Yarrowia lipolytica: one gene and its partner. The protein of the gene in region 2 purifies or fractionates together with the protein of the main gene of each other region. This does not show direct contact. Links are inferred from orthologs where the notes say so. Each region holds a gene or a part of one and is shown on either strand. Other genes may lie near its edges. The genes, in order: YALI1_D09420g and YALI1_C33005g.

What was found.
Region 1: the proteins of YALI1_C33005g (region 2) and YALI1_D09420g purify together in Saccharomyces cerevisiae (affinity purification with mass spectrometry, with the first as the bait; 3 studies listed by BioGRID). This does not show direct contact. The link is inferred for Yarrowia lipolytica from reciprocal best matches to the Saccharomyces cerevisiae genes CPA2 and CPA1.

Annotation. Positions count from the first base shown.
Region 1 is NC_090773.1:935,766-949,896, reverse strand, and holds YALI1_D09420g (uncharacterized protein), read right to left. Parts: upstream 7,829-14,131; coding exon 6,482-7,828; downstream 1-6,481. Other genes in the region: YALI1_D09493g (uncharacterized protein), read right to left, coding at 114-566; YALI1_D09488g (uncharacterized protein), read left to right, coding at 1,022-1,894; YALI1_D09453g (uncharacterized protein), read left to right, coding at 4,563-6,224; YALI1_D09417g (uncharacterized protein), read left to right, coding at 8,119-8,634; YALI1_D09404g (uncharacterized protein), read left to right, coding at 9,435-10,370; YALI1_D09382g (uncharacterized protein), read right to left, coding at 11,165-11,644; YALI1_D09356g (uncharacterized protein), read right to left, coding at 11,966-14,131. UniProt on the Saccharomyces cerevisiae protein: Small subunit of the arginine-specific carbamoyl phosphate synthase (CPSase).
Region 2 is NC_090772.1:3,294,557-3,310,574, reverse strand, and holds YALI1_C33005g (uncharacterized protein), read right to left. Parts: upstream 10,028-16,018; coding exon 6,626-10,027; downstream 1-6,625. Other genes in the region: YALI1_C33100g (uncharacterized protein), read right to left, coding at 1-356, 415-569; YALI1_C33098g (uncharacterized protein), read left to right, coding at 748-1,353; YALI1_C33086g (uncharacterized protein), read right to left, coding at 1,620-1,931; YALI1_C33071g (uncharacterized protein), read right to left, coding at 2,176-3,423; YALI1_C33055g (uncharacterized protein), read right to left, coding at 3,825-5,045; YALI1_C32975g (uncharacterized protein), read right to left, coding at 12,174-13,052; YALI1_C32972g (uncharacterized protein), read left to right, coding at 13,299-14,162; YALI1_C32921g (uncharacterized protein), read right to left, coding at 14,496-16,018. UniProt on the Saccharomyces cerevisiae protein: Large subunit of the arginine-specific carbamoyl phosphate synthase (CPSase).

The DNA of each region.
Region 1 (14,131 bases), on a different chromosome or scaffold from region 2:
TGTCTTGATTTTTGCTTGCTCTCAAACCTCCAAAAAGCACTGAGACACGAACCTCCATCCACGGACATGTTCTTGTTAAGCCTATCTTAACTAATTCAGCGTACATAAGTCAACTAAACCAGTGTGCAGACATCAGCCAAGCGGTGCTCAAATGTGCTCATTGTAGACATGAGACTGGGCTGGGCTCTGCGTTCATCAGATAGACGGTGGTGTGGATGGTCACGTGACCCGCGATATATATGACGTGACCGGAGATATCTATCACGGGAGTTCAAATTAGGGCAAGTACCGGTAAGAGGAGTACGAGTACGAGTTGGCACTGGTAGCTGTGTCGAAAGGTGATATACCCGATACAGTACTGTAACTGGTCTCTCATTGACATCCGGCTCCTCCAGTTTTAGTAATGTGCACAGGTAAACGAACGCACGATCTCGCCATGTACACCTCCCCTCTTTCTCTCTCTCAACGCTTACATAATCCACTCTTCTCCTCTGCTCACCCGAGACACCCAAACAATAGCCCTTTTCGACGGTTGGCCCTATACAGCAATTATGACCCACGTGCATTGCTCGTCTGAACTTTGCTTGGTGGTGAGCCAAATGGGTACAAGTGGTTATTTGTAAGCCGTGAGAAATATTTAAAGAGGAAAATTTGGTAAAAACGACACGGGGAACAAAATGAACTTTTCAGATTATCTGTGCGACCTTTGGGGCCCCTTCTGGTGCAACCGTGCTACGTCCTCTCACCACCACTTTTGCATTAACTTTAAGCTCAACATCTGGTCCTGCTTGGAGGAACACTGTCTTCAAGAAACGTCATCAAATCGGTTTGTACAGCTGTGCCAACCACACGATCGGTGTCCCGCCTTCGAGCACATACTTCCCATCCCGCCTGCTACCTTCTTCAACTCTTTTTTCGCCCATTTCCGCTGTTCAACGACGCAAAACATGTTGTAACACACCGTTGTTGCATCTGCCCCGCCCGACACAAGACCCGCTCAAAGACACAAATACACATACCAATGACCCTGGCCGACACTCTTGCGGCCGTGCACGACAACGCCGAGGCGATCCAGACGGTTTCTCTGGACACCCGGATCAAGGAGGAGGTGACTCAAGATGCCGAGGATTCTGGCGAGTTAGACAAGACGTCTGGTGAGATCCAGGAATCGCATGAGAAGGAGACCGAGGCGCAAATCAAGGCGCAGAAGGACGCCATGGACATGGCCAAGGCCGAAATTGACGTGGCCGAAGGCTCCGTGGACGACCAGGACGTGTCTGAACTGCAAAAGGTGCAGCGAGCTCTCCACCAGGCAAATCAGCCCGTGCGAATCACCCAGCAAAAAACCGGAGTCACGCTGCCGGCAATGAAACTGATGACGCCGCCAGACGGGGGTTGGGAGGTGCCCGAAAACTTCTCAATTGTGGTGGGCCAAATATACCGGTCGTCGTTCCCGCGGCCCGAGAACTTTGAATATCTCAAGCGGCTCAAGCTCAAGAGCATTCTCGTGCTTATTCCGGAAATCTACCCCGATGAAAACCTGCAGTTCATGAAGGAAAACAACATCCAGTTCTTCCAGGTCGGCATGTCCGGAAACAAGGAGCCGTTTGTCCACGTGCCTCACGACGTCATTACTCGGGCCCTGGAGATTGCCATTAACCCCGCAAACCACCCATTACTCATCCACTGCAACCGGGGCAAACACAGAACAGGCTGTCTTTCAGGCTGCATTCGCCGCTTACAGGACTGGAGTCTCACCATGATCTTTGACGAGTACCGCCGCTTTGCCTATCCCAAGGCCCGGCCTCTGGACCAGCAATTCATCGAGCTGTACGACAGCACCGAGGTGGTTAAACGAGCATGGGACTATGGCTGGTTGCCATTACAGTGGTGAGCACCGACTCACTACCAACAATTTACAATCTGACAGTAGACTCTGTCACATTATGACTCACTAGCTACATAATGTACCATATAGAAACGTGACGCAAGTGAGTGACCGCAGGTCACGAACGGACAAGAACCATTTACGTCATTGGGGTTCATAGGGCTCCCCAAGTCTCTGCACACAGTTGTGCTGGATAGTAGTGCGTGCATCGAGAGACTGATCGAAGGAGGATCAGATATACAATGAAGGTGCAGTTGTGATGGAAGCAGTTGGTGGAGTGGTGTGTGGTTAGATGAATGATAAAACTACTTGTAGCATTACAAGTACACCCGACAAACCAACATTACGGGTCACGTTAGAGTACGAACAGCTATATAGTATAGGCACAGTCATGCTGATGACAAGTTGAGATATAGAAGATGCTGTTATATTTTCCTGACCACGAGAAGTTGACCAATGGTTCTCTAGTGACTATGGAATGGGGTTTCTGAACTCCACAACTAAACATTTACCGCGTAATGACAACTTGGAGACACTCACATACTACAGCAAGCTCAGCAGACTCCACAGAGACATTATACCATTATTAACAAATATTGCAGAATATTTTTGAGATTTCTACCACTGGCTTGTGGTTTCGACTCGATTGCTTTTCCCTGCCTCATCCTCTTTTGTTTCCTTCTCAGTCTCTGTTCATCGTTAACCCTGTGTATATCCAACAGGCGTGGACTGGTATTGCTTCGAGACGTTCATATGAAAGGTTCAGAGGACGTCATCGAAAGAACAGAGACTTCGTTTAGGATAAGTAGCTGGTATTAGTTAGCACTGGTAAAGGTGCCGGGGAGAGCAATAATTGTAGCTGCCTGGTGGTGGCATTCTCATTCACGAGGAAGACTTGAGAGGGCTCTCGAAGAGCGAACACAAACACTAGAAGCCCATGAACTTCGCCAAAACGAATCCAGCAGCTACTCCGCTCTTCTTTGTCTTCAACAGGGTTGGATTGCCGTTTCTGGATCGCATGGATCGCGGGAGCGTAAGTTAAGCATGGAAGTCATGTTGAGTCATTTCGAGTCATGTTGAGTCATTCAGCAGGGGTTGCATGTGCTCAGAGTATTCCACGTGATCAGTGAGCATCATAATTGGTTGTTTCTTGTCTCAACTGACCGCCTCCTTGCTCATAGGCCGGACCAGAACTCTTCTCGAGGTAGTAGCTTCAGAGGAGCTTAGAAAGCGACATTCTGAAGTCGCTGAGTGCCTCAGATCATACGGCATTGTCAAAGTCTCTCAATACCGAACCTGCGAGGCGCTAACCGCTTCAATACCCGCCATGAAACCAATATCGTGGACTTCAGTATCCATGGTCAACTTTATCGACACAACCATGAATGCAGAGAGAGCAACTTCTGTGACAACGGTCGGTAATATCGGGCTCAACTAATAATAGATGACAGATACACACACTACTGTAATCTCTACAGGCAGTTGCACAGTTGATATCTGCAAATTTCGCCCCGATCCCTCTTCACAAGAACTAAAACAGGTACAGCCTGGGATAGCCTCACATCGGCAATTCCACAGAGTTCCATGGACTAAGGATAACTTGGCTACTGGTAGCTAAGTTGCCAACGGTACACAAATTAACGTCAGTTTACTTGTTTGACAGTACTTCTTGTACAGTAACTTTGAGCGTTGCTATTGGTTATACGACTCAAGTGTTTGGTACTGTAAAAGTACTCGTACGGAAGAAGGCAGGAGGATGCACAAGCTACCTGTTCACATAATGCAATCATACAGAGGTCACCAACGAAAGGTATCCTTTGTACACTACTCGTAGAGCCCCATCTCACCATAGCAACCAAGATATAAGTACAGATTGATCTCTTAGCAGTGTCTTGGATCCACCTGAGAACAACGCCTTTGCCTACTAGTAGCTAACTCCCAAGTTAGCTTCCGCCATCTGCACCTGTTGAGTCATTTGAGTCATCCCGGATCGTATCAAGATATGCCGTTTCGTTTCGCCTACAAAAATTTTCCCACTCTTTTCCCTTGTCTCCGTGACTCCCTTGTCTCGCACGGGTCAGACGATACGATCTTGGCGGCGCTTGGCTGCATACGGCGATTCGGTTCTGGCTGGAGCGGTAGTGATTGATACAGACACAAGACTGGCCAACGACCGGCCAACGACCGGTCAAGGACGGTCCCCGTAGAAAACGGCGCTCGCCTACGATACTTGCACTAGCCAAATACGGCGTTAATTTCTTTTCTTTTCATCTGGACGGTAATTTTTCTCTTATCGTTATGCTTTCAAGGTTTGGACTATGAGAGTCAGTTTCAGACTGAGGGGGCGGCTGAAGGAGGATGAACATATGTCGTATATTGGAGCTGCTGAGGATAAAAAAGAGGTGGAGTCGTGGAGGACCGAGTCTGAAAAGTTGATTTTCCAACTCTCCTCGCTTCCAAACTCCTCCTTCACCAACTTTTCAACTCCCCTTTCCGTAGCCACCCTTTTTTTCAATATGCAAAACTTCAGACTAACTCCAGCCAGTTAGCCACAGTTTGACTCAATTGACTCAAACCTTGCGCATGGCCATGCCTGTTACCCTGATATTTTGAGTCATGTATAAAGAGTGGAGAGGAGCGAGTGCTCGAGTCTTGCGAGTCATTCAAGCGAGCCATGAGTCACTACCACGACAAAAACGATATCTCCACTTTTGTGGAGTCGGGTTCTACCAGACCCGTGTCCGCCAGCTCCCTAGACTCTTCTATCCGTCCCCAGTTCCCCGAATCCCATCTCTATGACGACGAAAAGCCTTCTCCAGATGTGTCTGTACACTCGCTGCCCAGAGACACATGGTTCGAGAAGTTCATCTACTACTCGTCTAAGGTCGACTCTCTAGGTGTGGAGCTCCGGGGTATCCAGCGTATCCCTCTGGATGAACGAAAGAAGGCCGATACCAAGGCGTTTATCGACATCTCGCTGTTTTGGATCTGTGCCTGCGGAGGTCTGACATCCATGCAGGGCATGATGCTTGGTCCCCTGGCCTTTGGACTGTCTCTGAAGGACTCCCTGGTGTCCGGTCTACTCGGTGTGTTTCTGGGATCCGGAGTGGCAGCCTATGGAGCTACTTTCGGACCCCGTTCGGGACTCAGACAGCTTGTGGGAGCCCGAATCTTTGCCGGCTGGTGGCCCACCAAGGTGTTTGCCCTGCTGTCCATCATTGGAGGCCTGGGATGGTCAATTGTCAACTGCGTGGTCGGAGGACAAGTTCTGGGCTCCGTGAGTGATGGAAAAGTGCCCCTAGAGGTCGGTATCACCATTGTCACCGTCGTCTCTTTCTTCACGGCCGTATTTGGAGTCCGAGCAGTCATGTGGTTCGAAAAGGTGTTTGCGATCCCACTCAACGTGGTCTTCCTGCTGCTCTACGTCTGTTCCCACAGCTATTACGACGTGCACGCCAAGAGCCAGGGCACCCATCTAACCATTGCCGGCAACTGGCTGTCCAACTTTGCTGCCTGCTTCGGAATCACAAACACCTGGATGCCTTTGGCAGCAGACTACTACGCCCAATACTCACCGTCGGTCAAAAACTGGAAGATTGTCACCGTCACCTGGCTGTCCATCTTCATTCCCTCGGCCTTTGTAGGTGTTCTGGGCACTCTTCTGTCCACTGGAGTTAATACCAACACGGAATGGGCCGCTATCCACGACAAGTGGGGCAACGGAGGACTCATCACCGCTGGATTTGCCAAATGGAAGGGCGGAGGAAAGTTCCTCGTCGTTCTTCTCTTCATTTCCATCATCTGCAACAACATCCTCAACACTTACTCCTTTGCACTATCCATCCAAACCTGGGGACGAGCCGTCATGAGAGTCCCCCGGTGGTTCTGGTCGTTCATCTGTTGCTGTATCTACTTTGGATGTTCCATGGGAGGACGATACAAGCTGTCCGAGTACCTCAACAACTTTCTGCCCATGATCGGCTACTGGGCCCACATCTTCTTTCTGCTCATTCTGCTGGAACAGATCCTCTTCCGACGAAAGAAGCTGCCCGTGGAACCCGGACATGAGGACGAAAACGACCCCTACTACAGATGGTACCTGTGGGACTCGCCCGAGAGACTGCCCCACGGAATCGCGGCCTTCTGCTCCTTTCTTCTGGGAGCCACAGGAGCCGTTCTGGGTATGTCTCAGGTCTACTTCCAAGGCCCAATCGCCAAACATGTTGGTGCCTATGGAGCTGATCTGGGTCTTGAAGCTATCACCTTCTTTGTTTGTATCAGCTACCCGATATTCAGATACCTCGAGGCGAAAAGGTGGCCCGAGCGGTTTGCTTGATTATTTATTGTAATTGATTATCCACCAAGAGCTGTGGAATGTGCGAAGCGACAAAGAACTCTTGATCAGAACGTAGCACGTAGTACTCTGTTCATTAACTTCACGCACGCGCTAAACACGCGTTACACCGCTACATCTTTATCAATCATGCCTATTATTTTATATGGTCAACGTTATTCTTTTTTTGTCACGCAGCGGTTGATACACACCAACTGCATGCAGCGGTCTCCGTTCACTCGCTATGCCCGCAAGCAGGCTTACTGAACGTAATCCCAGGCGTCAATCTCAACGCCAATTCGCTGCTTGGGAAGCAGATCGACCAGCAGCTTGTTAGGCCGGGTGTCAACACCGGACTTTCGGGCAGCTCGGTACTGGTGCACCTGGCCAAGGTACTTGTCAAACAGAATGGAAGTATCGAGAGGACCGCCCTTGGCCTCGGGATGGAACTGGGTGGAGAAGATGGGCTTCTCGGTGTGGATCATACCCTCGTTGGACTGGTCGTTGAGGTTGATAAAGTAGGGCTTGAACTCGGCAGGCAGGGTGTTGACGTCAACGGCGTATCCGTGGTTCTGGGAAGTGATGTGGCACTGGCCGGTGGTCAGATCCAGAGCGGGGATGTTGTGAGCTCGGTTACCGTACTTGAGCTTGACGGTCTTGGCGCCGGCAGCCAGAGCCAGCAGCTGGTGGCCGAGACAGATACCGAAGATGGGCAGCTCGGAGAGCTCGGGCTTCTCGTACATAATGTCTCGCAGGTTGAGCACGGTCTGCTGGCAGTGAGTGGGGTCACCGGGGCCGTTAGAGATGAAGATACCATCAAAGTGGTGGGCAATGTCGTTGATGGGGTATTCGTAGGGGAAGACGGTGATGGAGGCACCTCGAGAGACAAGAGATCGCAGAATGTTCTCCTTGACACCACAGTCGATGACGGCAATGTGCAGGGGGTTCTCAACGTCGGCAGCGGCAGACACGTGGAAGGGCTGCTTGGTGGACACTCGTCGCACGAGGTTGATCTCGCCGGGGTCGACGAAGGCGGCGTCCTCCTCGGCGTCGTACTCCTCGCCAACGGTGATTCGGCCCAGGGACGAGCCCTGCTCTCGAAGGTAGGTGACGATGGCTCGGGTGTCGACGCCAGAGATGGCAGCGACTCCCTCTCGCTTGCACCACTCGCCAAGGGACTCGACGGCGGTCCAGTGCGAGTACTTGAGGGCGGCGTCAGCGACGACGATGCCAATGCACTGGATGTGGGGGGACTCAAAGTACTTGATGAGACCAAAGGGGTCGGTCTCCTTGCCGGAGGGTACTCCGTAATTACCGATCAGAGGCTGGGTGAAGACCAGAATCTGACCTCTGTACGAGGGGTCGGTCATGGACTCGGGGTAGCCGACCATACCAGTGGAGAAGACGGCCTCGCCGGACACGACTCGGTTGGCTCCAAAAGATCGGCCGGTGAAGACGGGGCCGTTCTGCAGAGTGAAGGTGGCCGGGGTGGCAGAGGCAGAGGCAGTGCCGGAGGCGGTAGTGGCCATGAATCGGGTCTGGAAGGACGCGGTGGTTCGAGGGGCCGATCGGGCCATGGAGGCCAATCGAGCAATGTTCTTGAACATGTTGTAGAGGTTGTTGTACGGTGGTGCGTGGGGGTAAGAGATTTAGAACGACAGTAGAGTCAAATTAGTGGGTGCTGCACTTCCAAATATGGTCTGGGTTAGTTGCTGTACAGTGTGTGCAGACGGCAATGCAGGATGCGTAGTGTGCTTTTGTTTGTGGGGTGTTTGTGACTTGTGTTTGTGGTGAACAGGAGAAATGTTGTGTGTGCACTTTTTTTTCTTCCCGTCGCTCTCTGATTCACCGATAAGTGAAAGTCTAAAATGTCGATGAAAAAAAAAACCAGCTTCACATGTGGGCGCAAAGCTTAGTCGGAAGACTCGGGATCACCGGAAGGACTCGGCGGAACTTAATCGCGCCAAGCTGTGGAGGAAGGGCGGTGATGAGACGACGCGGTTTCATCTCTCAAACTTGTCGTGTCGTCTTCTGCTCCTCGTCTTCCACTTGTTTGCCCCATTATGATTGCCCAAGGCTTATCTTAGGCTGTCTCATAGTTTGGCAATTGAGTTTGACGACGATTGACTGGGACCGCTTGACTCATAGTAGAGTTCGAATGGGAGATACCGAACAACCAGTCAACGACAGGCCCAGTCGCTACCCACAAAAAAAAAAGGCTGTACGCGGGCGACAGCTGAACAGTCGTATCCCTCCATGCTCACTCACGCATTGTGGTCCATTCCGCAGTGCCACGTCACATGACATGAACAACGCCACAGAGCTGCTCATGGAGCCTCCCCCCTCGCAGCCACAGTCGCCGCCAAAAGCCACAAAAGCACTCCTCAATTTCTCGTACTCACCACAAAGATAATCCTGGCTGGTTGAATGGGAAGAAACACGCATATATACCAAGCTGGCAGCTAGCGGTGTTTGGTCAATGGGGTTTGAGAAGATGTGTAAGAGGTGAGAAGCGGAGCTCGGAAAAATATATATTGAAATTTTGTCCCAACCCAACGCACGCCGAACTTTGTCATGGCGCTACTGAGACGCGCAAATAGCACATCCACTCGTTATTTACCGACACAACTAGCCGGATCACTTCCCCCGGTGGGTGCCATGCAGAGTTAGTCATTTGCGGGGGTCGTTTGGGTGCCTAGGACTGGAGATGTCTGCTTTCACTTGCCATTTCTGGCGCAGTATGCGCAGCTCCAATTAGTCATGGAAGATGTGGGTGGGGTGGTCACGTGTATGGTCACGTGAGGGAAATGGGTGGGTTGTTGTCGGATTAGCGAGTGGGATCAGGTTCGAAGCAGGTTTGGATCAGGTTATGATCACTATCAGAAGTGAACAGATGACGATTATGTTGCAAATTTCAGCCCTCAATTCGAATAAGGTTCACTGTACCTCGACAATGTGGGTCCTTCAAGACGTTGATAAAAGACAATGAATCAACTAACAAAACTGTAGAGAGATTTAAACCAGGTCAATTATGTTAAATTTCGAGTTTCATAGTTGTGATTGGCTCACAGGACCAGTTACACCTCCTTCGATTTTTTCTTAGGTGATAAACAAACTTTATGCTGTACACTTGACTTTCCACTTAGCATTCCTGGTTCAGTAGTCTGCATAATCTCTGAAATTTACACCACCACGAATACATCCACTACAACCATGCCACCTCGAAGAAGAGATAACTCGCGGGACTCATATCGGCGCCGAGATCGTCGAGATGACAGGAGGGACGATCGGAGAGGTGATAGGGACGATCGAAGAGGTGATAGAGACGATCGAAGAGGTGATAGAGACGATCTCCGAGACGACAGACGAGACAGAGACAGAGGAGGCGACAGAGACAGAGACGACCGAAGAGGAGGAAGACGATACAGAGACCGCAGTGACCGAAACGACAGTCTAGACCGCGATCGAAATGCGCGACGCAATCGCGAACGAGACAACCGGGATCGAGAACGCGAGTCTCGTAACAGAGACCGAGAAAGACGGCCTCGATGGGACGTCAGGGAGAAGTCGCCTGTTCAAAAGCGCCATGCTCGGGAGTTCAGTGATGACGATTCGGACGAGGAGGAGGAGAAGAAGGACGTGCCCAACTTTGAGTCGGGCGTCTTGAGTGGAGGAGGACAAGACAAGAAGAAGGACGAGCTTGCATCAGTGGAAGTCAGGGATATCACATACTCGGAGCCCGTGGATGCTGGAGAGCCGCCACAGAGCAACCCGTTCAATCTGTTTCTGTTTGAGCCTGGCCAGGACGACCCGATCGAGAAGCTGGTGCTCGACAAACGGGGCTTCTATCGGTTTGGAAGAGACTCGCAGCTCAACGACGTGCCTCTCCATGAACTGTCGTGCTCAAAGGTGCATGCTGCTTTGCAGTTTCGCAAAATTGAAAACGTGAATGACGAGGGTGAAACGTCGTTCCAGACGAACCTCTACGTCATTGATCTCGACAGCACTAACGGCACCTTCATCAACGATAAACAGATTCCCACCAGCCGCTATGTCCAGGTGCTGCCAAAAGACGTGCTTAGTTTCGGAGACCTGAGCACGGATTATGTTGTTGTTAGAGAGGATGAAAAGAAGGAGCAACAGGGTTAAAAAGAGACATGTCCTTGACTGTAGTACAATCGCTGTGCACGCTACGCCATTGACAAGAATCGCATTGTATAGTATATTATAATAGCATTACTAAAAGGATACCGCGTGTACTTGTACTGGACTGGTAACAAGCCAATCGCCGAGTCGACCTTCGGAAAACCCTGGAAAGTGCGCTTCCGATCTCCCCATCTTTGCTCCAGCCCTCGACAATGAGAACAGAGTGTGTTGCAGATCCTCCCCGACCTCTGTAGACAACCCGTCTGGCGTTGCAACTGTCATTGGCCAGTTTCAAGGGCGTCAATCACAGAGTAGGTGATTATTTCGACGTGGTTCTCCAAAGTCTGCCAATGCGGAGAGACTTATGAATGCCAATCTCAAACCCGTGTCCCTGTCGATTGTCTGCGAACTCTCTGGAGAGGATGTATTTTGTATTGCTACCCGGGACAAGAACTGGAACTTCGTATTTGGCAAAATCTTAGCCACCGGAGTCATCAGTTGGAATGGCAAGTGAGAGTGGACCCTTACAACTGAGATAGGGGTATCTCTACAAGCAGCCCTATACCAGTTGACCGAAGGCACGGTTTGCAACATGCCAGGAGGCTGGAGAGTTTTGTTGACAATACCAATATGGCCCGAGGGTAGTTTGGTCTCAATGTCGATTGAAAGGAGCGTATGAGTGGGGCCGAAATCTCAAAATCAAGGCTTTGCATCATGGTCTTCTTCCTCAGCTTCCGGCTAGTGCATCTTGGTAAAGATGGCTGTGTTATCTCCAGCGAGAAGTCGCGCCGAACGCATTAAGGGTGCCATCTCAAGCTTCTTCTTCCCCTCTTAGTCGGCGTCATACTCGTCATCCTCTTCCGCACTTTGGAGGAACTTTTAATTCGTCTCCAAGTTGCGTTTGGCCAAGAACCTGTCGGCCGATTCAACCACCTCTTGTTGGGACCGAGAGGCTTGAACCGCAGTTCCTTGACATTGTGTCCTGGAGACACTGACGGGGCCTGGACCAATTCAAAGACCTCCATCAACACGGTGTGGGTCTGTATGGTGAAGAGTGTTGTGAACGACATTAAGTGCTGTGAACGACAATCGCTTGTATGTGGATGGCGGTACAAGGAGTAACAGTAGGCGCGTATGAGTGCAAGTACACTCAAGTTGCTAATGAGAGCAAATGCTCGTACTTTTCTTAGCATGATCGTAAAAGTCATCCTGGCAAGAAGTAGCATATACAACCCATTTCTCGACAGCAAAAAGACCATAAGACACATAGAAGCCATCGGGTTTCATCTCTCATGCAAAAGTACATTCAATATATCTAAGGAAACATCTCAAATGATGGCACACTGTTCTGATTGCTTGTACCATTGCGTTTTTGTACATACAGGAGCACTGTACCCCAATCACCTTGCTCATCTACGAATGTAGCTACTTGAGTCCGCAAACAATCACTTGGCAGTATCACCTTAGCTTGATACGAGAGTGTTAATGTTCTCTTAGCTGGTGCTCGATGTACTCGCAGGTGCCCACGATTTGCTCACAGTTCCGCACCATATGCTCCGCTGTTCGTGCTGTTACTTCAGTTAATCAATATATACAAACTATTTACCATCTCGCTCGGCCTGCAGCTTCTTCTGGTGGGCATCCACCAGCTCCTTCTGCAGATGAGGAGAGCAAGGGGCGTAGTGAGAGAACTCCAGAGAGAACTCTCCCTTACCCTGGGTGCAGGCTCGAAGATGGGTGGCAAAGCCAAACATCTGGTTGAGGGAGCATTCTCCAGACAGAGTCACCTCCTCGGAGCCGATATCCTGGTCGGAAATCAGCGCCTGGTTCTTGTTCATCAGAGCAATGAGAGCTCCCTGGAACTCGACAGGTGCAGTCAGAGTGACGGTCATGATGGGCTCCAGAATCACGGGAGAACACTGCATGAAGGTCTCGTAGAAACCTCTCTGGGTAGCAACCTTGAAGGCCAGCTCGGAAGAGTCGACAACGTGGGTGTTACCATCGTTGATGAGCATCTCGACACCCAGAACTCGGGAGCCGGTCAGGGGACCCTTCTCAGCAGTCTCGTGGAACGATCGGTCACAGGCCAGAATGAACTTCTCGGGAATCTTACCTCCGACAATCTCGGACTTGAAAATGTTCTCGGCGGCAAAGGTGGCCTTGCCCTCGTTGACAGCATTCATGTCGGTGACAGGAGACATCTCACCAATGATTCGGGCGTACTGACCGGCACCACCAGACTGTCGCTTGTGGGTGAAATCAAGGGGAGCGGCAGTGGTGATGGTCTCTCGGTAGGCGACCTGGGGCTTACCGGTCTCGCACACAACGTTGTACTCTCGCTTCATTCGCTCGACGTAGATTTCGAGATGCAGCTCGCCCATTCCGGAGATGATGGTCTCCTTGGACTCGGCGTCAAAGTGGACTCGGAAAGTAGGGTCCTCCTTCTGGAACCGGTTCATGGCCTTGGAGAAGTTGGTAAGAGAGCCCTTGTCCTTAGGGGTGATGGCCAGAGAGATAACGGGATCGGGAACAAACATGGAAGACATGGAGTAGGTGACTTCTCCGTCGGTGAATGTGTCACCAGAGGCACAGTCGACACCGAATGTGGCACAGATCTCTCCGGCACCAACAGAGTCAACGTCCTCCATTTCGTCGGAGTGCATTCGCACCAGTCGGGCCAGCTTGGTCTTCTTTCCGGTCTTGGCGTTGATGATCGACATGCCCTTCTTGAGCTGGCCCTGGTAGACTCGCAGGTAGGTCAGCTGACCGTACTTGCCATCTTCGAGCTTGAAAGCGAGGCCGACAAAGGGAGCCTTGGCAGCAGGGGTCAGGTGCACGGGAGTCTCGTCTTTCTTGATATCAAGAGCGGTGTTGACAACGTCGGAGGGGTCGGGAAGGTACTCACAGATGGCATCGAGAACGGGCTGGACTCCTCGGTTGGCCAGAGCAGAGCCCATGAGCACGGGAGTGAAGGTTCGGGCAATGGTGGCACGTCGAATGGCTCCTCGAAGTTGCTCCTCGGTGGGAGTCTCCTCGAGAATGTAGCACTCGGCAATCTCGTCATCAACATCGGCAAGAGTCTGGATCAGCAGGTCTCGCTTCTCGGCAACAAGCTCCTTGAGGTCCTCGGGAATCTCGGCAACTCGAATAGTCTCTCCGGAGGCACCGTCATTGTAGTAGGCAACCTCCTTGACAATGTCCACAACACCGGCGAGATCACCCTCGGAGCCAATGGGCACCTGGATGGCAGCAGCTCGGGTCTTCAGCTTGGCGTTAATCTGGTCAATGGCCTTCCAGGGATCGGCGCCCATTCGGTCCATCTTGTTGATGAAGGTGACTCGGGGAACATTGTATCGTCGCATCTGTCGGTCCACAGTCATGGTCTGGGACTGAACTCCAGACACAGCACAGACAACAAGCACAGCACCATCGAGTACTCGCAGAGCTCGCTCAACCTCAATGGTGAAATCAATATGGCCGGGGGTATCAATCACGTTGAAATGGTAGTCCTGGTTCTCCTTAATCCAGGTGGCGTAGGTGGCGGCAGACTGGATGGTGATACCCTTCTCTCGCTCCAGATCCATGTGGTCCATCTTGGCTCCCACTCCGTCCTTTCCCCGAACCTCGTGAATCTCCTTGGTTCGGCCAGTGTAAAAGAGAATTCGCTCGGAAAAGGTGGTCTTTCCGGAATCAATGTGCGCACTGATACCAATGTTTCGCATTCGAGCCAGACGCGTCACATCGTCGGCGGTCACAGACCCCTT
Region 2 (16,018 bases):
AGAGCTTCCCCAGTCGCTTGTTTCCCTTGAGCAGGTTCTCTCGCACCTTCTCGTCCATATGCATCCATGTGTAGACCGACACCAATGCTCCTGCCTCTGATCGCACCAACTGAGAGTCAAGCCACTGGAAAGAAACGGTCAGAAACCGCAGTAGTTTGGTTCGCACTTTCTGGATCCGTGTTGGCTTGTCTCCGGCCACGAGATTGAGTACCGTTTTGTAAAAATGGCCAAAATTTTCGGGGCTCTTCTCGAACACCGTCCATAGATCGAATCCGTCATTGGCCTTGGCAAGAACAAGGAGTGCCACGACAATGGCATTTGTGTTGGCCTGTTTCTTGTTGTAAACTGGCCATAATCTGGGTTAGTAAGGAGTTCTAGCGGTGTTTCTGTGTCTGTGCATCTCTCTATACTCACTTCTCTAGTCCATTCAGAGACTCTAGGGTATGCAGGTCGCGATCATTGAAGCCGTTCTTCTCGATGAATTGATAGACTGAGTTTATCGACACGTTATCCTTGTTGAGCAGCGCTGCTAGAGGCGAGATCTTGAGCAGGTCTGTCGATAGGGCCATTTTATTGTCGTCACAGAGGTGATGGCTTAGTCAACAAGCACTACCCTACAACATGGATAGTACACTGCATGAGCAGGGCTAGGGCAGAAAAGTTAATGGGAAAAAATTAGTAGGTGCATACAACTTTTTGACCTTACAGTGAACTCATCACAACCTCTACTACAAACATCACACAAAAATGAGCTTCAGAGGACGAGGCGGATTCCGAGGTGGCCGAACCGGCGCACCCATGCAGATGGGCCCTCCCGATCAGGTGTTTGAGATGGGTGCCTTTCTGCACGCTTGCGAGGGCGATATCGTCTGCAAGTCCATCAATGAGAAGATCCCCTACTTCAACGCCCCCATTTACCTTGAGAACAAGACCCAGGTCGGCAAGGTCGACGAGATTCTTGGCCCCATGAACGATGTCATGTTCACTATCAAGCCCTCCGAGGGCTTCCAGGCCGCTTCTTTCAAGTCTGGTGACAAGTTTTACATTGGCGGAGACAAGCTGCTGCCGCTGGAGCGATTCCTGCCCAAGCCCAAGGCCACCGGCGTTAAGAAGCCCAAGGCTGCTGGAGGACGAGGTGGTGCTCGAGGCGGTGCTCGAGGCGGCTTTGGTGGCCGTGGAGGTGCTCGAGGAGGCTTTGGTGGCCGAGGCGGTGCTCGAGGAGGCTTCGGAGGTGCTCCCCGAGGCGGACGAGGTGGCTTTGGAGCTCCCCGAGGTGGACGAGGCGGATTTGGAGGCCGAGGTGGAGGCCGTGGTGGATTCGGCGGTGGACGAGGTGGCCGAGGAGGTTACTAAGGTCTGTCTGATATCAGCATCAATTAGCCACTTACACAAAGTCTGGGGTGAGATTTCCAAATCCCCACTCTGGGCCCATCGCATGTACTCTTTATTTTATTGATTGTATTATACCTAGTAAAAGTTATACACTTACTGCCACAGACACTTCTCACAGATCGTAATCAATATCGACTTTTGATAAATTTTCAAATTTTCAAATTTTCAAATAAGGTTGCAAAAAATTCACACCCCAAAAAGTTGGTCTGTAGTTGGACTTGAGAAGTTCAGTTACCCGGCAGTTCCTTGGTTTCGGAGATATCGGAGATTAGTGCGGCAGACGATGAGTCGGTCGACGCAGCTCCCTCGCTCGTCAGGTACGCCTTGATGTTGGAGACCATGTATTCTCGCACGTAATCCACATCTCGCTTGAAAACTGTGGTCGCCGCAGTCGCCAATTTCTTGGACCATTCCAGAGTGGTCAACTCCAAGCCCGTGGCCTCGTTGAGCACTGTGGTCGGAGGGAAGCCCACGTTGGAGGCGGTTCCCACAAACCACTCAATCCAATAGGCCATTTTGGGGTAAGTCGGTTCGGGCATTGCGATATAAGAGATGATTTGCGAGAGAAAGGGGACTCTGGGGCGGAAAATATTAATACTTATATACAGAGCTGTTGCTTTTTTGCACGAGCTCACTAGCTTTGCTACTTGTAGCAGTGGCTTCAATTACATTGCTCCATCAGCTAGTGCGGGGGAAGACAGTCTAGTGGGGATGAGAACGTGTCTGTCTTCCTATTTGTCAATTGGAGGCTAAAAGCACTCCTCCTCAGAAATGAGAACGTCCTCAAGACATGCCATACTTGGCCATCTCCTTCCACATTTTCTGCTCGTGGAAGCCCATGCCGCAGATCTGTAGAATGGCGTTTCGTACAACACTAATGCCACTTCCGCCAAAATCATGCTTGTATCCCTGCAGCATTTTGGGGCTATTGCTGACAGCAATGACCCGCTCTAGGGCCTTGGACGGGCACTCAGGAGTGTCCATTTTCTTCACCTGCACCAAAATTTTACCTAGCTGTGTCTGGATTGAAGTCTCGGCTAATAGCGCCCGTCGTGCCCACTTTTCCTTTTGGGGCTTTGTCAGTTTGACCATTTGGCTTCCACTTTTAGGAGGATTAGCAGCCAACCACATTTCGCGGCCCAGTGCCTCGAGTTTCTTGTCTCCTCCCACAAGCATGTCGCTCTTTGTGAGCACCACCTGCCAGGTGACTCCGTACTTGTTGAGCGTCGAGAGCATGTACTTGTCCTCGTCCTGAATGCCCCTGGTTGCGTCAATTACAAGAATGGCCATTCGCAGGTTAGTTCGTCTTTCCAAATACTGCTCCACTACCGCGCCTTGGTCCTTGAGCGACTTGTAGCCGTAGCCGGGAATGTCCACCAGTCTGATCTGGTTGCCTCCAGAGTTTGGAATGGTGAGACCATAGCAGTTGAAGGACTTGGTGAAACCGTGTTTTTTGGATATCACAGGAAAAGCAGAGTTGATTGAGTTGCTCAACGAGCCCTTGTGGCCCTTCTTGGACGTGGGGGAGTGTAGGTGCGACTGTGGAACGTCGGGTCGACCCCACGCCAAGACGTGCTGGACCAAGGTGGACTTGCCCGCGTTTGTGTGGCCCATAAACACTATTTCTGGGAAAATCTCGTTCTTGTGTACTTTTTTGAGATTCTGGTTAGTGGGGATATTGGCCTTGATCATCCGGGTGTTGGCGTTGGAGGCGGCTTCCAGAGCATCGTACTCGTCTGAGCCCACCTCAAAGTCCTCCTCCTCACGCAGCTCGTCGATCATCGCCCAGTCGTCGCCCTTGGTGCGTTTCTTCTCATCAACGGGAGCAGTGGGAATCTGGTCAAAGGAGAAGGCTGTCCACCACCGTTGCAACTTGCCTTTCTTGAACACTTGGTCGGCGTACTCAAGAGACTGTTTGTCAGCCTCGGGCATGTGGGTCTCCTGAACATAGAGAGGCGTGGATGTAAGTGTGCGTATTTGCACATATAGCCGGTTTGTGTTGCGTATCGATGGTCGTATATTCCGAATCATTGTGTTGTGTGTTTAACTGACTTGATCCTAGCCAGCTGAAAAATCTCGATTCTTTCTGCACGATAAGAAGCTTATCTGGTGGCGGCGTAAAGGAGGGTAGAAAACTACTCGTACCTGAGTCAGCAATTTATATATATGTGAACAAACACTTGTCAGATAAGTAACCACCATGGTTCTCTCTACACACATCTGATTTTTCCAAAGTTAAGCTACTCGTAGATATGGTCGCGTGACGATATTATTATCATTATTTGTCTTAGAACTAGACATGCTACACACACGATACAGACCAGTGGCTGGGAATATGTGTGTAGCCAGCCGTTAGCGCTCTCTCAAATCTATTTCCAATGTTCAATGAGTCTAATAAGTTATGTACTGTATAATATACGTGTCTAGGTCACCTACTTAGCGGCAAAGACAAGGTTGAAGGAAACGGAACCTCCGGCGGAACCAGGAGAAACGCCAACCTGCTGGGAGCCAGAGGGTACTGAGGGAGCAGACCAGTCGGACTTTCCGCCGTAGACAATGTTGCTGCCGTCCTGAGTGAACTGGCCAGCGTTGTTGCCAGAAGCACAAGAGAACTTGCCGTTAACAACATCGCAGGGGCCCTTGGAAGAGGTAAGAGTGACACCGCCGTATTGGGACTCGCCAAGGGTGTAGGTGGCACAAGTACCGGACGTGTACCAGTTACCATTGGAGATGAGGCATCCAGATTGGCCGGAGATGTTGATGAAGCCCTTGGAGCCGCCGGTGGGAGGATCGGAGGGGTCGGTGGGAGGAGGAGTTCCGCCAGATCCGTCCTTGGGAGGGAACTTGATCTGGTCGGGGCAGCTGGAGGATCCAATGTCGTCAATGGGGAGGTACTGGCCGGACACAACAGAGCCCTTGAGGTGGAAGTAGTACCAAACTTCAGAGATGTAGCCAGACTTGCACGAGATGTGAACCTGCTTACCATCAAAGTTTGAGTTGAGGGCGTTGAGGAAGTCAGTCTTGGCATAGGTCTTGGAGGAGTCGGGGGTGATTCCAGCGGCCTCGAGGAACTTGTAGGTGTTGACGGTCTCAAACACGTTGACAACGGTGTGGGCCCAGTCGGCAAGGGACTGATACTGCGGAGCATCGGAGCTGTAGCACTTGTCCTTAAGGGTGGACATGCAGGTGGCGTGCTTGTTCCACTCGTGGGTCCAGAAGGAGTCGGTGGAGCCTCGGTTGGGGATCCAGATCTTGTTCATCTTGTCGAGGAGCTCGGTCTCTCCGAGCTGCTGCAGAACGGCGGCCACTGACTGCACCTCCATGCTCTTGTCGCAGAACTGTGCGTACGATCCGTCACAGTTATCGGGCCACAGACCGTGCAGGGTGAAGAGGTCATCGGGGCCAATAGCAGGGGTCCAGTCCCAGAACTGGGTCAAGACGAGCACACCGCCAGGGGACTCGGTACAGCAGAGGTCGGCAGAGCCGGCGCCAGAGGAGCATGATACAGGAGTGTCAGCAGGACAGCTCTTGTGGTCAGCAGAAGAGAGAGGGGGCGAGGTGAAGGCGGCCACAGCATCTCGCTTTGTGTAGGGACAAACGAGGGCCGAGACGGCGGCAGCCACGGTAGCGATGGTGGCAAGAGAGAACTGCATGTCTATCTGTGTGTTTTCTTTCCTGTAGTGGTTCTTTGCAAAGGAATGTGGCGGTGCTATATATGGTGTTGTGTGTCGATGTTCACGTCGCAGACGGCGCGTAGGATTGAGTTTGGGTTCGGAGGAGATAGAGTGTGATAGTGTTCCTCGAGAGGCAATTGGAGTGTACACAAGGGGATTATGATGGTGGAGGAATGAAAAAGCAGTGTGTTTGATGATGCTTGTGGAGTGACATTGTCATTGTTACCGCTTGATTTCTAGTGTTTTATGTGCCTCCTTGGTCCGTTATCGTCGCTCCAAAAACCACACAGTGCCTTATCAGCCAATGATAACAGAAAGCAGTACAGTGTGTCTGCAGGTGCGTCTAATTACATCTGGTCAGTGGGACGCTGCACGCAAGCTGCATAACATCCAGGGCCCAAGGTGGGCATCTGTCAGGGAATCTAGTCAGGGGGATTTTCAACGGTGAAGAGCGAGTGATAGCTATTGTGGTGCAAACTACACATTGACGTTGTATAGCAGGGTGGTTATTGCGTCTACAGGTCACATCACACAATGGAATACACATCTTTTTCACACTCATATCCATTACTGTATTATCAACTACTTATAGCGGCCCACAAGCTGTCAAAGTCGATGGTTTGGTTCATCCACGGCTCTCCTCCACCACTGCTAAAGGACAATTTTAGCGAGACAATCTTTTTTGTGCCTGAACATTGCGTAAACCCAAAGATGCAGCTTGAACCAGCCGCTGTGTGTAATATTCAGCCTGTGTGATTGGGCCAAAGACAGTTAGATTTGACTGACGTGGGGCTGCCGTTGAACGTGGCGCGCTACTTGTAGTCTCGGCTATGTCCGGTAAGTCGTGTTTCACGTACCCTTCTTTCTCTTGAAGAAAGGTGATGATTTGCTTGACCAGAGCCTTGGATTCGGGGGATAGTGTTTCCATGGAGAGATGTACAAGTACCGGTACTTGTAAGCTACCAAGGTGGGATATATGTATTCCAATTACTTGACCAGTCAGCTCAGCGCTGTATCCATAACTTGACTGGTCCACTTACAATTGTACGTACTGTACTGTAGTATGTTCTACACACCTGCCACCTGCTGCTGGATCGAAATCACAAGATGATTAGTCGAAAAGCTAAGACAAAGTAGGCTGTATATATGCACGGCACAGGAACACCTCTCATTGTGGGGTCTTTGTGCTGTTTCATCTTTGTCCAGAGTTCAGCGATAATTAACTTGGCGATCACTAGGCGCTGTAATACGGAGCTACTCAAACTTGGAGTACCATGGGTTGTTTGTGGTTGATTGCGGTGGGGCTCAGTTGTGCCTGTGCCTGCGTTGAGTGGCTCTGTCTTGCACTTTGTCTCACGTGCGCGAGCTATCTTGCGGTGCCTAAGCTGTCTTCTAGCCGACAGTGAATGGTAACTGTCCAGTAGCTGTTATTGAGCAACAGTATGTACAGTATTTGTCCGTACAGCTAATTTCAGTAGCATGTTTTCAGTCGTCTACACATATTGTCTACTCTACAACTCACACGCTCTAAATCAAAGGCAATTAATAATTCATCGTATTTACACGGGTTTGCCGCCAATAAACTCGGACCATCGTCGAACCTCGGGAGGAATCTCACCGGTCTTCTTGTTGATTCGGGTGAGCAGACACTCGGACATGAGCTTGGCAGTCTGGGGCTCGTTGAACAGAGGAATGGCAAAGTCAATGGCGTTTCGTCGCATGACGTAGTTCTCGTCAAGCAGAGATTCGGCTCGAGATCGAGTCAGGTTGTAGACGCACTGGATGTCGTACTTCTGGAAAATCTCCCGCAGAGCTCGCTTGTCAGTCTTGGGGAACTCAATGGTGGAGACGTTGGTGGAGGTGGCCTCGGTGAGGATCTGGGCCAGCTCGGGAGAGGCGCAGTAGAGCTTGTAGCCAGTGTTGGCGGAGTTCTTGGCAATCTCAATGAGCTGGGGGGTCAGATCACCGCCGAGCAGGACACCACAGGGGGGCTGGGGGACCTTGAAGCCCATGGTGGACTGGATAGAGGTCCAGTAGGCCTCGAGCTTGTCAGCACCGAAACAGGCAACCTCACCAGTGGAGGCCATCTCGACACCGAGGTAGGGGTCGGCACCAGCAAGTCGGGTGAAGGAAAACTGGGGGACCTTGGTGGCAACGTAGGGTCGGTCAATCTTCATAAGATCAACGGGGGCAGGGACGTTCTCCTGCATAAGGGCCTTGGTGGCAACCTCGATGAAGTTGACGCCGAGAACCTTAGAGACGAAGGGGAAGGATCGAGAGGCTCGGATGTTGCACTCAATGACCTTGAGGGCAGGCTCGTCGGTGCCGTTGGGGACCATGATGATCTGCATGTTGTAAGGACCGGAAATCTCCCAAGCAGCGGCAACCTTCTCGGCAATCTCCTTAAGACGGGCCATGGTCTTGTCATCGAGATCCTGGGGAGGGAGGACCAGAGAGGCGTCACCGGAGTGGATACCGGCGTTCTCAATGTGCTCAGAGATGGCGTGAACCAGCATCTTACCGTTGGAGGCAACAGCATCAACATCAATCTCGTGGGCGTTCTCAATGAACTTGGTGATGACGACGGGGTGGTCGGGAGAGACGGCAGAGGCGTTGTTCAGCTTGTGCTCGAGCTCAGACTCGTTGTAGATGACGGACATAGCGGCACCGGACAGAACGTAAGAGGGTCGGACCAGAACGGGGTAGGAGACCTTGTCGGCGAACTCCTTGGCCTCAGCGACGGAGGTCAGCTCGGACCAGTCGGGCTGGTCAACTCCAATGGAATCGAGAATGGAAGAGAACTTGTGTCGGTCCTCGGCCTTGTCGATGGACAGAGGGTCGGTTCCGAGAACGTTGGCGCCCTGCTCCTGGAGAGTGAGGGCGATGTTCTGGGGCAGCTGGCCACCAACAGAGACCACAACACCCTGGGCGTGCTCGAGCTCGTAGATATCCATGGTTCGCTCAAAAGAAAGCTCCTCAAAGTACAGTCGGTCGACCTCATCGAAGTCAGTGGACACGGTCTCGGGGTTGTAGTTGATCATGATGGTCTTCTTGCCAGCCTCTCGGAGAGCTCGGACGGTAGAAACAGCGCACCAGTCAAACTCAACGGAAGAACCGATTCGGTAGACGCCGGAACCAAGCACCAGAGTACCATGCTCGTTGAAGTCAATGTCGTGTGAAGACGCGTTGTAGGTGGTGTACAGGTAGTTGGTATCGGCAGGGAACTCGGCAGCAAGGGTATCAATTCGCTTAACGAAGGGAGTGATACCGAAGGACTTTCGTCGGGCTCGAACAGACATCTCATCAGAACCAACAGCAAGAGCAATCTGCTTATCGGAGAATCCGAGCTTCTTAGCTCGCTGCAGAATGTCCTGGTTGAGGCCGTTAAGAGACTTGTGGGACTCAAGCTCTCGCTGCATCTCAACGAGGTTCATGAGCTTGTAGAGGAACCACTTGTCAATCTTGGTGAGATCGTGAACCTGGTCAACGGTGTAGTTCTCGTGGAGCAGAGCCTGGCCCACAGCGAGCCATCGTCGGTCGGTGGGGTTAGCAAGAGTATCCTCGAGGAACTCCTTGTTGTTGGCGAAATCGGGGTGGCCCTGGAAGCCGACAAAAGAAGGATCAACCTGTCGAATGGCCTTCTGGAAAGACTCCTCAAAGGTTCTGCCAATAGCCATAACCTCACCGACAGACTTCATGGAAGAGCCAATGTCTCGCTTGACATTGGAGAACTTGGCCAGATCCCATCGGGGGATCTTAGTGACCATGTAGTCAAGAGAGGGCTCGAAGTTGGCGGAAGTAGTCTTAGTCACGGCGTTGGGGAGCTCAGGAAGGGTGTAACCAAGGGCAATCTTGGCAGCAGTGTAAGCGAGAGGGTAACCAGTGGCCTTGGAAGCCAGGGCAGAAGATCGGGAGAGACGGGCGTTGACCTCAATGACTCGGTAGTCGAGTCCGTCGGGCTGGAGAGCGTATTGGACGTTACACTCACCAACAACGCCGAGATGTCGAATAATCTTGATGGCAGCGGATCGGAGCATGTGGTACTCCTCGTCGGACAGAGTCTGAGAGGGAGCAACGACAATAGAGTCACCAGTGTGGATTCCAAGAGGGTCAAAGTTCTCCATGTTGCAGACAGTGATACAGTTGTTGTTTCGGTCTCGGACAACCTCGTACTCAACCTCCTTCCAGCCCTTCAGGGATTTCTCAACGAGAATCTGGGGGGCAAGAGACAGAGACTGCGCAGCGAGGTTTCGGAGCTCGTCCTCGTTGTTAGCAAAACCGGAACCCAGACCTCCAAGGGCGTAGGCGGATCGGACAATAATGGGGTAACCAACGGACTCGGCGGCCTTGAGGGCGTCGTCAACGTTTTCAACAGCAATGGACTCGGCGGTGGGGATATCAATCTCCCTAAGGGCCTTAGCAAACAGGTCTCGGTCCTCGGAGGTCTCCAGGGTCTTGATGGGGGTTCCAAGAACCTTGACATTGTATCGGTCAAACACGCCCATCTTGTTCAGCTGGACTCCGACGTTGAGTCCGGTCTGGCCTCCAAAGGTCAGCAGAATTCCGTCGGGCTGCTCTCGCTCAATGATGTGGATAATGTACTCGGGGGTAACAGGCAGGTAGTAGATTTCGTCGGCAAGGAAATGCGAGGTCTGGTTGGTCGCAATGTTGGGGTTAATGAGAATGGACTGCTTGCCCTCCTCTCGAAGAGCCTTGATGGCCTGAGATCCGGAGTAATCGAACTCTCCGGCCTGACCAATAGACAGACCTCCAGAACCAATGACCAGAACCTTGGAGACATCGACAAGCTCCTTGTCAGCCACCTGGGACAGGATTCCAGCTCCGGCATACTCGGGGGTGGTTGTGTATTTTCGCACGGGGAACTGTGTCAATTTGGTTCGCACGGCAATGCCAGCTCGCAATTGCGGCTTGGCCAGTCGCAACAGCGATCGCGCTATCATTGTCGGGATGGTAGTTGGTGATGTGTGAAGGTGCGAGGTGCAAGTTAAAGTACCTTTATTTTTTTTTCAACTCTCCAAATCAAAATCTTTTACTTGTACCCCGAGCTTAAAATTCGTGCAGACGGAATAATCGGGACACTTGGGCCTGGGGAAGGAAAAAGCGAGCAGCAGTTTCCAATGGGAAAAAATGTGCATACACCCATCTACAAGGGGGAAGAGATTATTTTTACCCGGCCAGTCGATTCTACACCTCGAAATCCACCAGTCGGACCCGTCAGCCTCGTTGATTATAGACTCCAGCTAGAACGGTATTTGACTCTCCCACACCCATTCGCTGCTATCAGAGATAAGGATAGACCTATGACTCAGAGTATGTTTTTGGAGGAGCGTCAGTCTTGTCGGCTGGTGAGCGAGGCCCATGCACTGTGACTAAAATATGTTTGCGGTGGTCCAAGTACGATAGTGGGAAAGAAGGGCCGGAATCCGGAAATTTTATACACGAGTACAGTACTGTACTCGCGTCATTTTCATGATGCGTGGAGACAATGATTCCTACGTGATCTAAGCTCTGTTGAAGTGCTTCTCTTCCAGTAATCAAGGATTCTCGGCAACACATTGAACTTTAAGAGGCGATCAGATACGAGAAGTGGGGCATAAGAGAGAGTGGGAATGCTTCAACAGGGTCATGGAATGTGTTATTGACAGATCCTCACTTGCACTCCCCCCCAGAAGAAGCAGTTGTTACTCTCCTATATGCTGGACTCTCCCGATACAGCTCAACTGCGTACTACCCCGGTTCGATGCACCCCCGCCACGTATGTGTATGTAGGCTGTCGGAGCGGCGGGTTGTTCCCAGGAGCTAGCAATCTACTTGTCGTAAGAAGAAGGAGCGGGCAGTTTTAGACCCATCTGGAGCATCTGGCAAGTACAATCCCCAGCTACACGTTAGGCATGAGTAGAAGTAGCTTGCACCATGCATATGGAAATTTTGCAGAGCTAAAATGAGCCACCAGGTGAAAGTGTCCAAATAGTCACAGGTGCGGCTTATGTGAGATGACTATTTGCGCAGGGAGTGTTTCATGTTGGTCAATGCACATTAGATTGCTCTTCTTTGCTGGCGTTTTTTTTGTTTTTGTTTTTTGGGGAGACCTGATTTGGGTCCAATCTCGTTCTTTTCCACCACCTGCCCATTTGCTTGTTTTGGTCCCTGAACGTTGGACTCATCCGATACGAAACAGAGTTTGAATGAGGTCTGGTGCTTATTAACGTTAGTTATTAGTAGGTTAGGGATTTAGTTAGATTTAGTTAAATTGGTGTGACACTCTCAAGTCACACCTTCCAAGAGCTGTTGCAAGATATGCTGCTGTTATTGATGGTCTTTGGTAGGGTTTACTTGTGGTCGTCCGGTTATGATGGTTTAGACATTCTTGTCCCTTATTTCATGTCATCCCCTTCTGTCTACTGTACAAGAATGTACAAGCCTCCAACATACATATCCAATTTAGGAATCGTAATACGGAGCTTCACGAAGTCGCACTTTTGACCAGTTAACTACAAGTACAGTACAGTACTTGTACTTGTACAAGTGTAAATGTACGCCTAGATGTGGGTCGGAACCCTTTTTTCCCTCCAGCCACACGACCAAAGACCCACTTGAGCACATTGAGAGTCGCCAATGACCCCTCATGCCGAGGCAGCCAGAATCTTAATGAGTGTAGGGTTCGGTTCATGGGATATGAAGTTGGTTCAAGCCAGAATCACAAGACTACTGTACAAGTTGGATATATATTACAAGTACTTGTAAGGAAGGTTATGGGTACTTTCAATATATCAGATTGATCATAATCATGTCCTAGTTACCATGAGAGTACCTTGAGCGTTTCAATTGGTAATATAAAATGTTTGAGACGCGTCAATGGACTCTGAGATGCGCCAATGGACTCTTAGAGATGAAAGGGTCAAAGAAAGCCCTAGCCACGCATGGCATATTACCAGCTGACAAGACATATAATGGCGATGATCTGGAATAAGCGACTGAAACGTGTGGTTCAATCCGCTTCTGCGTGTCCTTGCGTAGTACCTGTATTCTCTCACTCTGTCACACGACCATCAGTATAAACAATAATATTACTTTAAATTTGGACCTCTACAACAGTCCCTCATCGTCCTCCTGCTCGGTAATGGCGTTCTTGATCTTGAGCAGCAGGTTGGTCTTCCATTTGTCGAGCTTGCTGAATTGGTCAAAGTCGTACACCTTATCAGCAAACAGCTGGGGGTTCTGGTTGCTGACAGCCTCACAAATATCCACCAGCAGACCATACTCTCGGGACTGGCCAAAGGCAGGATCCCACTCCAGGTAAGCGTTGATGGGGCCCCCACAAGCAACAGGATCCGCAGCAATTCGACACAGGCCAGCCTTGAACAAATACTCCTTGAGCGACCACTTCATGATGTTGGAATTGAGGTTTCGTCGGGCAACCATCTCGAACATTTCAATGGCCTTGAACAGATCGTCGTTCTCGGCAGACAGTTCCGCCACCTTGAGGTATGCCTTGGAAGATAGAGTCTCTGCTCGGTCCTCGGAAAACCAGTCTCCGGCATCTGTGTAGGCCTCCATGGCCTTGGGAATGTCCTCCAGCTCCTTCTCGTACAGCTCTCCCAGCTCCATCTTGTAATTGGCACCTCGTCGGAACTGACCACGTGTAGTGAAGAACTGAATGGCCTTCTCCAGACACTTGGCGGCCTCCTGGGGTGAGTTGGACCGGTATGATTTGTAAGCCTCGAGCAGCGAGTTGGCGGCCTCGTCCTTGCTCTCGGACTGTAGTTGTGCGTCAGCAGCCTTCTCAAAGCACTCTCCAGCAAGCTTTCCGTTACGCTGTAACTTGTACTGGTTTGCGGCCTCGGTGTAGAGGTCTGCTGCTTCTTCGAATCGGGTCGAGGAGCCGCCGCTCATGAATGAGAACATGCCTCCGGAGGAGGTCATCTTTTTATCGGCTCTAGCAATGAGAGCGGTGACGTCTGACATTGCGTGGTATGGGGGTGATCGATCTAGGTGTGGAGGTTTGTATGTACGTCATACAGACGCTAACTGCACGGGGGCAGGGTTTGGGTTGGAGATGAAAGAAGCTACTGTACAGCATTTGGCGTTGGGGGTTCGAGTCGTGGGGTTGCACATTAAGTCGCTCAATGCAACGCGTCAGATTGTGCAAGGCTGGTAAATAAAACGCGGCAGATATAAAACACGTCAAAACAACAAGACACGGAGAAGGATATGGACATGGAAAAAGACGGGACACAACACACGAAAAAGACACAATCTGTTCAGGAGACTGAGACGCAGAAATCCGAGACACTGTCTACATCAACACCTGACCCAGAAACCATGGAGATAAGTGTAGCTGAAGTGGAAGCGACATCCATGAAGACACACACAGGGGAGGGACAGAGGCAGACACAAGCCAGTGAATCACAAGCGACGAGCGAAGGACGAATAACAACAGTGAACGAAACACAAACAACAAAAGCGACCGAGGGACAAACAACCACAACAGCCAATACACGTGCAATCCCCCAATCAGCACGTTACAGACGTTTAGTCACATCCTCGTCCACAGCACTGGCCCATGCAGTCAAGTCGCTCACTTACAAACGAGTGGCGGCGTGTTATCCAAGCATTGCAAAGACTCCTGCTGGTCAGGAGGCACTCAGAGAAGCCCTTAAGCAGATCTGCAAGGCGTGGACGGACTCAGTACAAACGGAATTCGACGCGATCTTCGATGAACGACATCTCCCGGAGAAACTGGCCCAGTTGGATCAATTGGTCAAAGACGCCAGACTCAGAATGAATTCAAACACAGATCTGCCTATCCATGTCGATAGACTGACGCCAGATCAAATCATCAAGAGCCATCTACGGGAAACTAAACTCGCACGAATCAAAAAGCTCAAACAGCTGGCACAGACAGTCAAGAAGGAGAATGATGAATACCGACAAAAGATCAAGGAAAACAACGACCAAGTCCATACATCGCTCGACAAGTTGCACAAGGTGACATCGGATATTTCAAAGGCCACAGCTGCTACTCAGGAGATGCCTGAGCGGGCAGAACTGTACGAAAGTTGGAAGGCATTATAGGAGGGGTGAACTGTACTAATAGATTATTTATTTGTTCCACGTTTAGCAACAACAGATGACGTACAGCTTCAAAACGTAACATAGAAGCGGCAGATACGGCATTATTGGACTATCTGACCATAAAGGTCACAGTCTCACAGAATGTGGTCCATGCCGTGCAACCAGAAGCTACAGGTAGCTACTTAAAGTATTGTATGAGTACATACCGTAGTTGTAGTCTACAGTAAATTCCACCATCATCACTACTCGCTACGGTGAAAGTACTGCATTTTTTATAATCACATAATACATTTAAACATTAATGAATTACTTACATATCATCATAAAAAGAGATCAGCTCTGGTCCAAAAGGTAATTAGTGGCCTCGGCAACGTTGTATTTGTGCTTCTGCAGCGCCCGCTTGGCCTTCTCCTCAGAGAAACCCATTCCGGTCAGCTCCTGAACAGCTCGAGATCGAGGAGAAGATGCTCTAACGGGAGCAGCAGAGGGAGCACTGACTGGAGCAGGGCCGGAAGACATACCGGCGAAGATCTGCTCCCACTCGTCGTTTCCAGGAGGATTAGCGGGCGCAGGAGCCTGGTTCATGTCGTCAAACGCATTGTTAAAGTCGGTGCTGTACTGCGACTGGTCCATCGAGTTGTTGGCCTCCACGTTGGTGTCCTCAAGATCGGCAAACGCGTCGTCAAAGTCGTCGTTAGCAGATGCAGCAGGCGCATGCTGGTTACCGAAGAAGCCGTTAGTGGAGCCACCATGATGAGGAGAGCCGGGGCCTTCGCTCTCGTCATATGTGGGTGGGTTGGGGGGCAGCTCCTTGTCATTGTTGGACGCAGCAGCAGCAGCAGCCTTCTCCTCGGCAGCAGAGGGGTATGCTTGTGTGGGAGCAGCAAAGCCCTGAGAAGAGGCTGGGGCGGCAGCTGGCTCAGGGAAATGACCAGGGGCAGTATCGTGAACAGCAGTCTGGTCGGGGAAGTGACCAGGAGCAGTGTCAACAGCAGGGGCAAAAGTAGGCTGAGTAATCTCGTGCTGGGGAGTAACCACGTCCGACGTAGTATCGTCATGGTGCACCTCCTTGGGCTGGTAGTTTTTGTACCGGTTGACCCCAATCTCCTCCAGCTCGTCATCGTCAGAAGAGTCGTCGTCAACCACAGCCTTGCCCTTGTCTCGACGGGGCATCTCGTTGATAGAGTGCTCGTTCTCGTCAGCAGACACAAACTCGAATGACTCGTTGCCAGAGTCCTCCTCCAGCTGCGTAGGGTTAGGGCCAAAAGGCTGGGCAAACGGCTGGTCGGGGAAGGGCTCGGCGGCCTTCTCAAACTCGGGCTGGTCCGAAACGGCCTTGTCGGTGAACTGCTCGAGCGCAGCGTTGGTCTCGGGGTGAGGCTGCTCGCTAGTGAACTGGGCAGGGGGGTTGAAAGGAGCAGGCTGAGAAGCGGGGTTGGAACCAAAAGGCTGGACAAAGGGCTGTTCAGGGAAAGGCTCAGTGCTCTTGAACTGAGCGGTCAATCCATCAACGTCCGGCTTCTGAGGCTCAGAAACAGTCTCCTTGGAGGCGATGCTGGGGTGCGAAGCATGAGCTTCGATAGTATCACCGGTCAGACCAGAGTTAGCTGTCTTAACCACCTCATCGTGCTCTCGAGAACCTTCAAAGGGAATGGGGGCAGTGGAGTCGCTCAGACGGGTGATGTTGGACACAGGAGAGTCGGGTCGGCTAAAGTTCTCGCCTCGAACGGACAGAGGAGCGTTGTTCTGGACAGAAGAGGTGGAAGAATGTGGTCGTGCGAGAGGCAGAGTGAAACCTGCAGCCTCAGGTTGGTACTCATTGAAATCAGACTGAACAGACGAGATGGGGGTGTCGG